Linked DNA regions of Astyanax mexicanus. The protein of the gene in region 1 binds, or shares a complex with, the protein of each later gene. Links are inferred from orthologs where the notes say so. Each region holds a gene or a part of one and is shown on either strand. Other genes may lie near its edges.

What was found. Proteins that work in one complex are often made in the same cells at the same time.
Region 2: the proteins of apaf1 (region 1) and casp9 are in contact, whole or in part, in a crystal structure (PDB 4RHW), measured with the Homo sapiens proteins. The link is inferred for Astyanax mexicanus from reciprocal best matches to the Homo sapiens genes APAF1 and CASP9. Residues at the interface, in NP_863651.1 of Homo sapiens: Thr22, Ser23, Tyr24, Met26, Asp27, Ile30, Ser31, Ile37, Glu40, Glu41, Arg44; in NP_001220.2 of Homo sapiens: Asp23, Trp26, Asp27, Leu30, Arg36, Pro37, His38, Glu41, Gln44, Arg45.

Annotation. Positions count from the first base shown.
Region 1 is NC_064409.1:37,145,529-37,153,232, reverse strand, and holds the start of apaf1 (apoptotic protease-activating factor 1), read left to right. Parts: upstream 1-4,677; 5' UTR 4,678-4,839; coding exon 4,840-4,977; intron 4,978-6,085; coding exon 6,086-6,275; intron 6,276-6,663; coding exon 6,664-6,861; intron 6,862-7,704. UniProt on the Homo sapiens protein: Oligomeric Apaf-1 mediates the cytochrome c-dependent autocatalytic activation of pro-caspase-9 (Apaf-3), leading to the activation of caspase-3 and apoptosis. This activation requires ATP. Isoform 6 is less effective in inducing apoptosis.
Region 2 is NC_064420.1:3,314,355-3,322,039, reverse strand, and holds the start of casp9 (caspase-9), read left to right. Parts: upstream 1-4,649; 5' UTR 4,650-4,720; intron 4,721-5,364; 5' UTR 5,365-5,365; coding exon 5,366-5,497; intron 5,498-6,695; coding exon 6,696-6,894; intron 6,895-7,685. Other genes in the region: plekhg5b (pleckstrin homology domain-containing family G member 5), read right to left, coding at 358-439. UniProt on the Homo sapiens protein: Involved in the activation cascade of caspases responsible for apoptosis execution. Binding of caspase-9 to Apaf-1 leads to activation of the protease which then cleaves and activates effector caspases caspase-3 (CASP3) or caspase-7 (CASP7).

The sequences.
Region 1 (7,704 bases):
TTTAATAGTCTTCAGTAGCCTTTAAAAGACTTACCTGGCGGCCGTGGTGTGTCCACTAAACTCCGTAGTTATAAACATCCTGAGGTTAGCAGCGCGCTAACTGACCTGTTTATGATGTAATCCGAGCAGTGACTCCGTGTCGGCTGTTCTAACCTGCTGCTGTTAGCTGCTTGGGCTGAAAGATGAACTGTAGTGAGCTGTATTATCCGGTTAGTGGGGTTAAAACCTTTATTTGTTTACAGAAACAGTAAAAACGGACTGGCTGAGCTCTGTAGCCCGTGGCTGGGCTGTACTGAAGTAGTGACTGAGTGAAGAGAGCGGGGCTTGTGCTGCTGCTGCTAGTGGTTGGATGAAGAACTGCAGCTTCATGTAATGAGCAGTTTCACCAGCCATCCACACACAGCTCTGATAAACTGCTTGTTTTAATAGTGCACACTGTTGCTACCAAAAAAAGTCACTAGATGGCATTACCATATATATCTTAATAAATAATAATAATAATATTTATAATAATAATAATAATAATAATAATAATAATAATAAATATATTATTTAAATTTTATGAGGCATAAAATAATAACAAGAAAATAAAACAAGAAAATCGAGAATCGAATCGAATCGTGACCCTCAAATCGAAAATGAAATCGAATCGAGGATTTAGAGAATCGTGACACCCCTACAAGATGCGTAGAAACTGTGGATTAAAACCAGGGTTATTTAACCAAATATTGGTTTTTGAACTCTATGAACTTTATGAATATGAGCTTGATTTCTTTGCATCATTTGAGGTCTGAAAGCTCTGCATCTTTTTTGTTATTTTAGCCATTTCTCATCTTATGCAAATAAATGCTCTAAATAACAATATTTTTATTTGGAATTTGGGAGAAATGTTGTCTGTAGTTTATAGAATAAAAAAACAATGTTCATTTTACTCAAACATATACCTATAAATAGCTAAATGAGAGAAACATGTTTCAGAAACTGAAGTGGACTCTCTTTCAGAGCTGTAGATCTAGTGGAATTTCTGTATTTCTTCATAAATGTGACTTAAAACATCATAACATTTCCTAAAAGTAAATGAAGATAAAAAATATATTTAAAATATTATACTTGATTTAGTGCTGGACGATATGGCCAAAATTTATATCACGATATATTCCTTAAATTTCGGTCGATACGATATAATTTCGATATCGATAAATACTTTGAAGGCCTCAGAAAAAGAATCCCTGCAATCTCTGCAGCTTGCACTGCAAATTTAAATTATTATTTAACTGTGTATTTGCACTTTTTGTATCAATCTATCCAATGGAAATCTGTACCTACTACTGTATGAAAATGTTTTAAGTCTTTGAAACCTCGTTTCACAAAAACTTTAATACTTTAGAAATAAAAGTAGTCAAAATAAATCAATGCTCAATTTTATTTGCATATAGCAAAATAATAACATGACATCCCTGCCAAACATAAGCCTATATAACTATTACAAATAAAAATAACTTTAAATGACAACAGAGGCAGAGCTTCTTATTCATTGTAAACAAATTTAACAGATTAAAACAAAAGTGTTTTAACTAGGATATATAATACAAGAAGCCTTTATATACATAAAAGCAACAAAATTTTCCCGTCAAATAAACAAACCTATAGGATTTTTCAACTATAAATAACTTAGTGACAACATAATCTATTAAAGTGCTTCAGCCAGAATACAAGAGGTATTCAACATGATATCAACGGCAAATAAACAAACCTAAAGGATTCATAAACTTTAAATAACTTAGTTTCAACATAATCTATTAAAGTGCTTCAGTCAGAATACAAGAGGTATTCAACATGATATCCACGTCAAATAAACAAACCTAAAGGATTCATAAACTTTAAATAACTTAGTTTCAACATAATCTATTAAAGTGCTTCAGTCAGTATAAGGAAAATATTGTATGTAGTGAAGATGCTTGAGGTGGTAGAACAGATTAGATGTATTAACGTTACGCTGCTTGTCGGCTCCACTCACCGGCACAATTTGCAGCAAAGCGGCAAGCGAGCGGAGCCGCGGATGAGCGAGCGGAGGCGCGGATGAGCGAGCGGACCCGCGGCTGGGCGAGCGGAGCCGCGGCTGGGCGAGCGGAGCCGCGGATGAGCGAGCGGAGGCGCGGATGAGCGAGCGGAGGCGCGGATGAGCGAGCGGACCCGCGGCTGGGCGAGCGGAGCCGCGGATGAGCGAGCGGAGGCGCGGATGAGCGAGCGGACCCGCGGCTGGGCCAGCGGAGCCGCGGATGAGCGAGCGGACGCGCGAGCGGAGCCGCGGATGAGCGAGCGGACGCGCGAATGGGCGAGCGAAACAGCGGCTGACCGAACCGAGTCTACCCTAGCCTTGGATCCGCTCGTCCCGGCTCCGTTTCGAGACATTTTAGATGCGTAGCGGAGCGGACCTGAACCTAACCTAGCCTAGCCTAGCCATTTTAACCTAGCCTAGCCTAGCCTATCTGGCTACGTGCCTGTGTGATTGCGTCATCACGCACTGAGGTAGCACAGCTATGGGGGCTGAATGTGTTTGGCTCTGCGGCGAGCTGACGCCAGTAAAAAACGCCTGTCCGTGACAGATTCTGTACATAATACATATCGATATACCACAAAAGTGATATCACCGTTATTGAAACATTTCTTATCGCGATAAATACCGATATCGAATTATTGTCCAGGCCTAACTTGATTATTTATTCATTGAGGAAAATGATTCAATATTATGTATTTATAAGTGGCAAAAATATGTAAACCTCTAGGATTAGCAGTTGGTTTGAAGGTGAAATTTAGAATCAGCTGTTTTCAATCAATGGGATGACAATCAGGTGTGAGTGGGCAGAACCTGTTTTATTTAATGAACAGGGATCCATCAAAGTATGCTTAAACCATGAATGAAATAAGTAAATTCGAAAGAAAAATGGAAGGATATCTATCCATGAACTGACTCTCAAGAGAAGGTGCGTGGGTCATGCAGCAAGTAAATAACCCTAAGCACACAAATCGTTCCACCAAAGAATGGGTAAAGAAGAAAAAAATAATTAAAATGACAAACTTTTAAGCACCACTGTATATGAAGGTAAAAGAGTGATAACAATATTATCGATTTTACAGCATAACACAATCAATGCACTAGTGGCATATATAAAGAGCCTACATCCTATTTCTTTTGGTTTGATGTTTTCTTTGATGTTTTGAATCAGAAATATTTTTACACTGTCATTTTCCAACCTCATACTTTGATATAGCAATAGCATGTAGGCTAATTTTGTTACTTTGTCGTTAAGACTGGTATATGTAAATTAACTCTGACTGGATTTGCAACCCTGTGTTGTGCCCCATAAAAAAGTAGTCCTGGCTGAAAATGTATTTTAATGTCTTAAGTGAAGTTTAATGAACTGTTGACTTTATACTAAACATTGCAATATATGTATTTCCTGTAATATATTGCAATATTAAAGTATTATTAAAGTATTTATAATGATTAAAATTATGGTCGAAAGTGTTGGCAGCCTCAAAGTTTTTCTCCCAGAAAATCATTGCAATTACACGTAATGTTATATACATGTTTATTTCTATTGTGTGCATTGGAAAAACACAAAAACACACAGAAAAGGCAAAATTTGAGAAAATTTCACGCAAAACACCCAAAATTGGATGGACAGAATTATTGCACACTTTTTGGAGAGAAATATCTGTCCCTGTAACAATGGATAAGATGCACCTGAGCCTACAGGTCAGCTTGAAGTTCTTTAGAACTTCATGGGGCTCCTTATCCAACATTTGAACTATCTGGAGTTGCAACCTTTTATCAGTTTTTCTCATCCGTTTATGTCCAAGGAGATTAGCTACAGTGCCATAGATTGTAAAGTGTTGTGCACCATGGACAAAGAAACATCAAGATATCTGGAAATGGACTTGTAACCTTGAGATACATTGAGATGCATGATATTTGTCCACAATTTTGGTTCTCAGTCGTCAGACAGTTCTCTTATCCTCTTTCTGTTCTGCAAAGATTAAATTAATTTCTCTCCTTTTTCTGTGGTTTCAGGTGTTATTTTTGTATTGCCCACACCTGTTCCTTGCTACTGGTGATTTTAAACCAGTTAAAACCTGTTAAAAATGTGCTTACATACTACCCATCAAACTCTTATATTTAAAAAATATATATATATTATTTACAATATGGCCTTCACAAAATAATAATTTACTATTTTCTTTAATAATTTGATTTTGTTTTTATGTGCTTTACCATGTTTAGAATAATGTTACACATACCATATGTTGTTGAGTAAGATTGGTATGCATATGTTGAATACTGCATCAATAGTGGACAGTTCGTATGTTGCTGATTGCTCAGATTGAAATAATTAAGAAAACTTTTATTTAAGGTCTGGGTTGTTTTTTAGGTTTACGTTCTTTCAAAGTAAACAATCAATTGTCAAACTTCCCTGGTCCTCTTTTTTTATTCTTAAATGCAATTTTTCTTAATTTTAAATAAATCAGAAATACAATTACAGACCCTATATTTTGGCTTTAAATAAACGTTCTTACCTCTATCTGAAATAATCCTAGGATCAACAGAACAAGAACAAGAACAAGCTACCTTGAGATGATTATACTTGTCCATCTTTATTGTGTCTGCAGGAAACATTGTGTGTGTGTGTGTGTGTGTGTGTGTGTGTGTGTGTGTGTGTGTGTGTGTGTGTGTGTGTGTGTGTGTGTGTGTGGGTGTGGGTGTGTGTGTGTGTGTGTGTGTGGGTGGGTGTGTGTGTGTGTGTGTGGGTGGGTGTGCGTGGGTGGGTGTGTGTGGAGATGGAGGAGAGGGCTCGCAGCTGTTTGCTGCGCTCCAAAGACACTCTGGAGCAAGATATAAAGGCCTCCTACCTCATGGACCACATGATCAGTGACGGGGTCTTGACAACAGATGAAGAGGACAGGGTACTCAGCAAGGTATAGCAAATAGACCCAGATACAGGTTAACAACCAGCCACTGGTCAAAAGTTATATGGCACATACTTAAACTTGTTTTTTATTACATTTAAACTGTGCTTTATAATATCAATATTTGTACAGTGTGCAGTTGGTAACACCATTTCTCCCATATCCCAGACTTAGGTTAAATTCCCTGTCTGAGGAAGAGCACCACAGTATAACAATACATTTTCCTAATGTCTGTAATGTGATTAAACTTTTTGCCACTGGGTAAGTTTCAAAATAATACCCCAAATTAAGCATGAATAAAAAAAATAATAGTATTAGATTTAGTATTAATAAGGTCATATATATATATATATATATATATATATATATATATATATATATATATATATATATATATATATATATATATATATATAAAATATGTATGTATGTATGTATATATATATATATATATATATATATATATATATATATATATATATATATATATATATATATATATATATATATATATATATATATACATATACACTGATTCTCTTAAGTAATCATGCATCAAACCAATTAGTGTGTCACTTCCCAATCACTTTAACAGCCAGGTGCACTCTTGTGTTCTCATTTATGAGAACAGCAATGTTATTTTATTTTGTTTTCTATTTTAATGTAAAGTTGGGTTTGTGCACTGCCTCTGGTCCATGTGTGTGTAACAAGTGGGCGTGTATGTACATTGAGCACATGAGGCATGCCTGCATTGCCAAGAGACCAGTAAACTGACTGATGACTGTTGTCAGGGTTTTAATCAGCCACTGGCGCACCTTTTTTCCATTGCCAAGATCGCAATACACCTCACTTCCAGACCACCATACCCCTTGGCTTAGATACTGTATGTCTGTGAACATCTTTGCTATTTAAACGATGCAGACTCAAAGTGTGAAAATAGACTATAGATGGGATGTAAGATAACAGTGAATATTGCGATGAGCCTTGTGAAGGGTGTAAGATATGGTTAATATGAAGTAAAAAAAGAAGGTTTAAAAGCTGTTACAGAGATGATGTAGCATGTGAGGTTCCTCTTTATGACATTGTTGCTTCACTTTTGCTCTCTTTTATTTTATAGCCCACCAGAAGAGAGCAGGCAGCAGCATTGCTGGAGGTCCTCCTGCGGAAAGACAACAGAGCCTACATCTCCTTCTACAATGCCCTGGTTAGAGAGAGCTATGGAGACCTGGCCAACCTGCTGCATAATGACCTGCCACAACTCAGCCCTGAGGGTGAAAAGAGCTTTTCCAATGGGGTCTCTTCCTTAGGTAAACATTAAACTGCCTCCTTCTTACTAAAATGATTTCACTAATGATTTTACTAATAGTCTGTAGTACGTTGTGGTGAAATTGTCGAAGGGAGAGGAAAAAGTTCTAAATTCAGTGTGCCTCGTCCACATTGACCATGAACCAACTGGGACAGCCACCAACCCATAGGACACAGAATTACATGTCATTAAGTAACCCCAGAAACTCACAGTTAACTCTTTTACACAAGGAACATGCTCTTCCACAAGCCTCAGTGGCTAAATAAGACTAATCTAACTCTAGTTAATGAGAGTAACACACCAACCGTTCTGTAAAAAAAGTATTTTTTTGTTTTTGCCTTTTTTAGGATTAGGTTATATCTGATCTCTCTCTGCTCTAATTATTTCAGTTCAGCTTATTCTGAGTGAAGGCGGAGTTCCCCAAAGGCCTATGGTTTTTGTGAACCGGCCTGCTCTGCTTAACCAGGTCCGGGAGAAGCTGTACCAACTGCAGAAAGTGGTGGGCTGGGTCACAGTGTTTGGAATGGCTGGCTCAGGGAAGTCTGTGCTGGCTGCAGAGGCAGTGAGAGACCATTCATTAATCAAAGGTACTGTTTTTTTTTCTACATAAATATTTTAGTTTTTCAATGGTTAGTTTTTGACTAATGTAGAGTAACTTGCAAATGGCATATTTCTTAAAAAGAATTTTAGCAAGGTTATTATTATTTTTTCCCATTTCAGTTCATTACAGTATGCTAAATACCCTTACATGCCAGTAGTCATAGTTCAGCAGTATGTAATTTGATCATGAAATGTTCTCTTGGTTATATTGTGAGTGAGGTTCTGAATTTCTGCCAGAATTCAGTGAGAAAATGGACTGGTAGTGGATTTGGGTTGTAGTGAAACATGGTAACGTGTACAGACTTTTGTGGAATTCTCTAATCCCCCCAAAGGTACTCTGTGTATAAGCAGTCACAAGGTACTGTGTGTATAAACAGTGTTTTTTATTAAACTGGAGTTTTCAGTGTCTCATTTTAAATGTCAGGGCCCTTGCCGTTTCGAATCCTGTTTATATAGCTTGCCATTGGCTACCAGAGCCCCAAGAGCACATAATTGGCCTTGTTCTCTCTGGGTGGGTAGATGGCGCTCTCTCCAAAGGCTGATGTCTGCAGCACAAGGCATCTGTGAGCTGATGTATCGGAACGAGTCGCTGCGCTTTTCTCCGTGCGAGCTGTGATGCTACTCAGCAATTCTGCATCATCAGCAGTTCAAAAAGAGACGGTGGATGACTTCACATGTATCGGAGGAGGCATGTGCTAGTCTTCACCCCCCTGATGTTGGGGCATTGCTAGTGATGGGGAGTCCTGATGAGTGGGTTGGGTAATTGACCGTGTAAATTGGTCATTAGGCATAACAAAATTTAGCTTCTATGAAGATCATATTTGTGCTTT
Region 2 (7,685 bases), on another chromosome or scaffold:
ATACTAAATGCACTATTTTGGAATTGTGCTCTCTTTGGGCTTCGGCAGCTGATGGCAAGCTGCATAACCAGGATTCGAACCAGCGATCTCCCAATCCACTAACTAGTGGTAGCCCCTTAGTTTGCTGGACCACTCAGACCCCTCCATTTTTCATGTTTATAGTATATGTTTTTTATACAGACTAAAATTTAGATCTTAGAACAGTGAACTAAAACATAAACAAAAATAGGAAAAATACAACACTAAAGACTACTTCAGTGCCTTTCAGCTGTAAAGCATCCTCTCAAGAGCTCCAGCCTGGCAGGAACCTTCATAACTTCACAACCTTCATAACGAGGATAAAATAAAACATCTTACTGAGACGTAGCCGAATCCCGAGCCAGCTCCTGGGAGGAGATTTGTGGAGACTTGGATTCATAGTCCACTTGTTGGGAACCATCTAGCGCTGCATTTACTCCAACTGAGATAGAAAACCAACGGCTGCCTGAAAAAAGTTACCAGCAAAAACTAAGTAAAATCAAAATGCACAAAGAAAGCAAACCAATCAGGGTGCAGCATTCACTGTGTGTGTTAATCTTGTTTTGATTTCTTGTTTTGTACACACAGTAGCTTCCCAGTGCAAAAGTATATGGTTCAACATCAGTGCAACAGTGGGAACTTTTGGGAATGCCTATGCATTCACAAATTATGGAATATATAGAATACAGATGGATTGTAGCACTAAAAAAATCAAAAATTTTATTTTTTTGCAGTAGTTGTTTCATCCACATCAATAGAAAACCACAGTTTACCAGTTATTATGGAAAGGCTGTTGAGGCCAGAACAAAAAAATCATAGGAAAACCTACCAGACACACAGTTTCTAAAATATATAAATATATATAGAGTTGCAGGTATGCTAGTAGATGCATATTTAAAACATTTATCATAATTCATGTTTATGTAACATTGTTACACTCTGGTTGTGGGAATGTTTGCTCATAACATTTTTAGAACATTACATTCATGTTATTGTGGTAAAGTTTGCCACTAACATCAGAGGAACTTCGAACAAGCAATATGCAAAACTTTTTTTTTTAAACCTTCCATGAAAGTTACTCTGGAAATTATTGTTATTGTAACACCAGGGAACTCTAAACAAGGTTGTGCAACGTTTTCAGAACGTTACATTTATTATATTGTGAGAATGTTCGCTCGTAGCTTGGGGAGAACTTTTAAATAACGTTAGTAAATGGTTAGGGGTATGTTCACTGTTAGCTTGATATTAACTAACATTATGAAACTTTGCGCATTAACCCCGTGCTGTTGTAGAGAGTTATGTAAAAACTGTAAATACGGTAAATACAGCATGCTGTTTAATTAATCAGTTAATTAGCTGCTGCACTGCTGCGTAAAGGCACTTCTAGGAACGTCCCATTAATGTTACTGTAGGAATAAAATGCTTAAATTGTTTTTAAACATTAGGGAAATTTGAACAAGGTCGTGCAACATTTTTAGAGCGTTCGATTAACGTTTCTGGGGAAATTTGAGCAACGTTTTTTAGAATGTTACATCAATGTTGTTGTGGGAAAGTTTGCTCCTTTTTTACACTGGGAAAAAAATTTCACAAGGTTGTACAATGTTTACAAACTTTACATTAATGTTATTGTGGGAACGTTTGCTCCTAACATCAGAGGAACTTTAAACAAAGTTGCAAAATGTTTATAGAACGTTACATTTATGTTACTGCGGGGGGAACGTTTGCCTGATGTCCTAACACCAGAGGAAATTTGAACACGTTCGTGCAAGACTTTTTTTGTGGGAATTATTATATTTTTAAAGACTTGGGGAACTTTTGTTGTGCACCGTTTTTAGAACGTTACATTAATGTTAGTGTGGAACATTTGTTCCTATATTGGGGAGAACGTTTAAATAACGTTAGCAGTACAGCAGCAGCAGAGCTTTCACTGACCTGTAGCTTGCGGTCAGTCGGTCGGTTGGTCGGTCGGTCGGTTCTCCCCGCCGCTCTCTCGGTCTCGGTCTCCTCCTCTCCGGTGTGTTGTTACTGCAGCATGGCTCCTCCGCGGGGAGAAATCCCGCTCTATCTCCTGCTGGTTTGTTTGGAGGAACATCAGAACATCAGGACCTCAGCGCTCCGCTGCAGCTCTTCCTCACTCCCAGCCCTCAGTCTGTTTCTCCTCCATTCATTCAGATCCAGCTGAAGCGGACTGAGCTCAGACTCAGGGCTCAGGGCTCTGACCGGCCTGCAGTAACCGCGCCTCACCGCTAGAGGCGCTGCAGCGGCCAAACATATAAAGTTTTTTTTTTAATGAATTAATTAACCGTAAGCAAATAAACAATATAGCACAATACACATATTGACATAATAACAATGGCACAAACAACAGACAAGTAAATATAATAATATATAATTAACCAGGTATATACTCAAATACACAAAGAAAGAGAAAGAGAGAGAGAAAAGAAAACTATAAAAATATATATTAATTAAAACTAGAGCTTCAAAGAATAATAAAACTCTTTCTGCAATCTTCCGTTTTACTCTCTTTAAATAATGTTTAAAGTGCACTTTAGTGTAGTTTTTTTTAGTTGCATTAAGGTGTACTATTTAAGTTAGCAGAAGTCATTAGATAGCAATTCAATAAGTATGAAAAGTAATGTTACATAAAAGAAAATAAAAAGCAATCATTTTTATTCTTCATAAGTTTATTATATGTGCAACTGATATGCATATTTTTTCATCTAAATTGACTTTTTTTTCAGTGTAACTTGAGACAATGCTTACTCAGCCAAGAACCTTTTTTACTAGTCATATCCAGTAAGGTAAAATACTGCTTATACTCTTGTGGTGCTCTCTACTTCCTTTTAGTTTCTTACAAAAGACCACTATTAAATGTAAGTAGCAGTACGCAGCCCTGGATCTGTGTGTGGATCTGTGAGTTCTCCACCTCAGGCCGGGGCAGCTGGCCTCCACACCTTTCCTGGATGATGTTTTGATCAAAGCCTCTTTAGTCTGAAGCCAAGTCCTGAGTGAAGCTCCTGCCAGATACAGCATGTGTACAGTATTAGTCTACTCTCTCTCTCTCTCTCTCTCTCTTTCTTTTCTTACTGCCAGTCTCTACTTTTGCATGTTGCAATTTCTTCATCACTTATCCTACATTTTCAATTCAACTTCACTACACTGACTGTACAAATATAATCTTAAATCATCTTGCAAATATACTTTTATACACAATGAGTATGATCAAATTCCATGCTTTTCTAGGCCTTTAAATATATGGTGTTCAAACTCTAAAGACCCTAATATCCTTGGATTTTTTTTATTTTTTTATTATTTATTTTTTTTACAAAATTAGTATTACTGTATTTTCATTTGAAAGGTAAACAACAAATGTTTTGTTGCACATGTTTATCACTGCATCATAACTCAGTTCAGGAAGGGTTAAAATAAGCAATGATTTTAGAGGGTAGTTTATCATACAGTTAAACAGCAGAAATAACCAGGAACTAAACTAATTCTAAATACAGAACATATTGATTAAAAAGTCAGAAAACTGTTTAAAATTGTATCAAATTTGTAGAGCATTTCTAGGTAGCTTTATATGGATTTATATGGAACTTTTTGCTGACTAAATGCAGAATACAAAACTCATTAAAATAATAATAATAATAATAATAATAATAATAATAATAATAATAATAATATGGAATATTTATAGCCTATTGCCTTTAGAATCTAAAGTAACATTTATAGTATTATTCATACATTCTTTAACGTTTTATTTTCCTCAATAATCTGATCTGTGCGCAGTAAAACGAAAAATATGTGTGAAATAGAACTACAAATAGATGTGAAAAACATGCACAAAGTCTGCGTTTAAGCGACGCATCTTTGATCGCACAAACGCACACAGATACTGATATCAGAGCTGTTTTTTGGCGAGCCTGCGCACTTTTTACCTCCCTGTTATATCAAAAATAACTGCGCACCGCTAGAGGGAGCCCGCGAGTGAGTCCAAATTGAATGCGGGTGAATGGAGCTAAACGGCTAAAATCTCAAATTAAAAACACTAGCTAACTACTTAGCCAGAATATTACTTTATCTTTAGAAATTATTATAAAGTACTTTACTAAAAATATAAAGAAAAATGACCTGTATGTTTCCATTAAATTACAGCAAACGGTTTTTTTTTGCATTAAAGACTGGTTAGCCTAACACTGGCTGGAGAGCTGATGCTGATTTAGTTTTTTTCAGTATAAAAATTAGTAAACATGTATTAATTTATATATATCATTGCCCTCATTTGTACTGGTGCAAAATTTTGTTAAAAAGTAAGAGACAGTTTGTGTGTTCAAATTATGTAGTAGTCTAAAACCATCCATTCGTCCATTCAGCCATCCATACAACCATCCATCTATCTATCCATCCATCCGTCCATCCAACCATCCATCCATCCATCTATCCATCCAACCACCCATTCATCCATCCATCCATCCATCCATCCATTCATTCATCCATCCATACAACCATCCATCCAACCATCCATTCATACAACCATCCATCCATCCAATCAACTCAGTTACTCCATATGAACCCATTCATTTTAGACTTACTCTGCAGCGCCCTCTGGTGGTCAGACACCCCCAGAACAGATTTTTAAGTGGGTATTCTCGCCTGTACAGACTCTGTGGTGTTGTTAGGCGTGACATAAACAAGGAAGGTGAGTATTTCCTCAGCTCTGTGTATTTAAAGCTGTATTTTTTTGTATTTTACCGTTTTAAAATCGATTTTTCAAGTGAAATATAATTTAGAATTTAATCAATTAAATATTTATTTTATATTTTGTGTCTGTTAGACTCAACTCTATTACGCTGGCGTTTAGCTGCGTTAAATATACAGAAACATACCAGTCAAAATATGGATACACCTTTTCATTCAGTGTTTTTATGCTTTATTTCCTGATTTAATTTACTTTCTACATTGTAGATTAATATTAAAGACTAATTGTAATGAAAACGATTAAGGGACACATATGGAAAACTGTTTGTCCTACACAAAACTCCCCTGAGAAACATATTCCCTCGTGAAGACACTGAGATTAAAATACCTAAATAAATGTGATGCTTATTTATAAAAATCTAAAATATAAAACATATTATGGTTTGTTTAACACTTTTTATTTACAGAATAATTCCACATGTTCCCGTAAAGCTTTAATATAGTCTCCAAAATTAAATTTACAATATAAAAAATAAAATAAAAAATAAAGTAATAATAATGATAATAATAATAATAAACACTAATTGAATGAGAAGAGGTGTTTTGACTGGTATCTAACTAATGTTTTATGGACTCTGTTAACAGCATGGAGCCCAGACACAGGAAGATCCTCCAGCAGAACAGAGCTCACCTGGTGAAGACCCTAGATCCTTCAGGTGTCCTCGATGGACTCTTGTCAAGAGGCATCTTCAGTCAGGACATGATAGATGAGATAAAGGTGAGATGAGGAAGAGCGTTCTAAGACAAGATAAAGAGGTCTGTGTAGTGCTAAACAGGTTCAAGATACAAAAAGAGAGCTAATATGGAGCTTTAAAGCTGACTTAAATCTGAATCTGCATTTTGTACATTTAAATTATATCTTTTTAAGGTTAAAAACTGTAATTAAATTTCAACTAGGGGTGGCCAATATAATATCACAATTTTTTTGGCGATTTATGACAAAACACTGAATTAAGGTCATGATTTAAAATCAGTTTTCTGCTGCCAAGATTATGGAGGATAAATAATGAATAAAATAATGAATAAAAATAAATAAATGAATAAAAACGTAAGTAAATCACTCGATAAAAGTAATATGGTGATTAAAACAGTAAACAATAATTATAATTAATATAAAAATAAATATCTTACATTGTTATGTATGGGTTTATTTTTTTCTTTTTATTTGTTTGTTTGTTTATTTACATAACTATTTATTTCTGCTTTAATTTATTTATTTCCCGATTTATTTATTTCCCGATTTATTTATTTCCCATTTTATTGATTTCTGTTTTTTCTTTTCCTTTTATGATAATGAAGGGGATGTCCAGCAATGATGTCATGGTGTCTTAGAGCGATCCTATTGGTTGATCGATGTCAGATACCCTAGATTGATTGTACATGTCTTGCTCTTGGCAACGTAGAAGATTATTATAAAACACGTCCCTTCATTATCATATAAGGACAAGGAAATAATAATAAATAAATAAATCAGTGAATAACAAATAAATGAATGCAGAAAAAAAATTAATGCATAAATAAATAAAATTAATTAAAAATTAAACAATGTTAATAATGAAACCTATAAATAACAAATAATTAGGATATTTATTTTTTATAGATATGTATTTATTTTTATATTAATTATAATTATTCTGTACCGTTTTAATCACCATATTACTTTTACTGAGTGATTTACTTACGTTTTTATTTACTTATTTACTTATTTTACATTTTGGCAGTTTTGGTCCTACATACAAAATAGCAACACATTACTTCCAGAGAAGTACTCACACGCACTGTTGCTATTTAAAACGAAAAATTAAGGCTGTTGGTGGGGTGTAAGATAGCAATGAGAATTGTGACTCATCTTGTGCACGGTGTAAGATAGAGTCCAAAGAGTGCTTTGTAAAAACTGTTCTATAACTGTTTCGCAGAGCTCTGGGGCCAGACGTACTCAGGCCAGGCAGCTGGTGAAGGACCTGGAGACGAGAGGCCGTCAAGCTTTCCCAGCTTTTCTGGAGTGTCTTCATGAAACCGGCCAATCCAGCCTGGCGGAGCACCTGGAGAGTGGAAATCCTCTACCTGTACCTGCTCCCCTCCCTGTGCAGCCCACTGTAATCCCTCTCCCTGTCAGTGAGTGCGATTCTTCTGTATGTTTTTACTTTACATTACATTACATTACATTACATTACATTTGGCAGGCGCTTTTGTCCAAAGCGACTTACAATAGTGAAGTACAAAAGTAATAAAAATTAAAGGTAAAACATTTTTAGATAGGGCTTAAAGGAGGTTGAAGGGAAATAATGGGGTAGAGGAGTGAAGGAGGGGAAGAAGGAAATGAGGTTAGAAGTAGTTAGTGTTAGGAGTAGGTGTTAGGAGAGTAAGTGCTCTTTGAAGAGCTCTGTCTTCAGCAGTTTATTATTAAATATAGTGAGAGATTCTCCTGATCTGGTAGTAGAAGGTAGTTAGTTAGAGGTGTTAGGAGAGTAAGTGCTCTTTGAAGAGCTCTGTCTTCAGCAGTTTATTATTAAATATAGTGAGAGATTCTCCTGATCTGGTAGTAGAAGGTAGTTAGTTAGAGGTGTTAGGAGAGTAAGTGCTCTTTGAAGAGCTCAGTCTTCAGGAGTTTATTAAAGATAGTGAGAGATTCTCCTGATCTGGTAGTAGAAGGTAGTTAGTTAGAGGTGTTAGGAGAGTAAGTGCTCTTTGAAGAGCTCTGTCTTCAGGAGTTTATTAAAGATAGTGAGAGATTCTCCTGATCTGGTAGTAGAAGGTAGTTAGTTAGAGGTGTTAGGAGAGTAAGTGCTCTTTGAAGAGCTCAGTCTTCAGGAGTTTATTAAAGATAGTGAGAGATTCTCCTGATCTGGTAGTAGAAGGTAGTTAGTTAGAGGTGTTAGGAGAGTAAGTGCTCTTTGAAGAGCTCA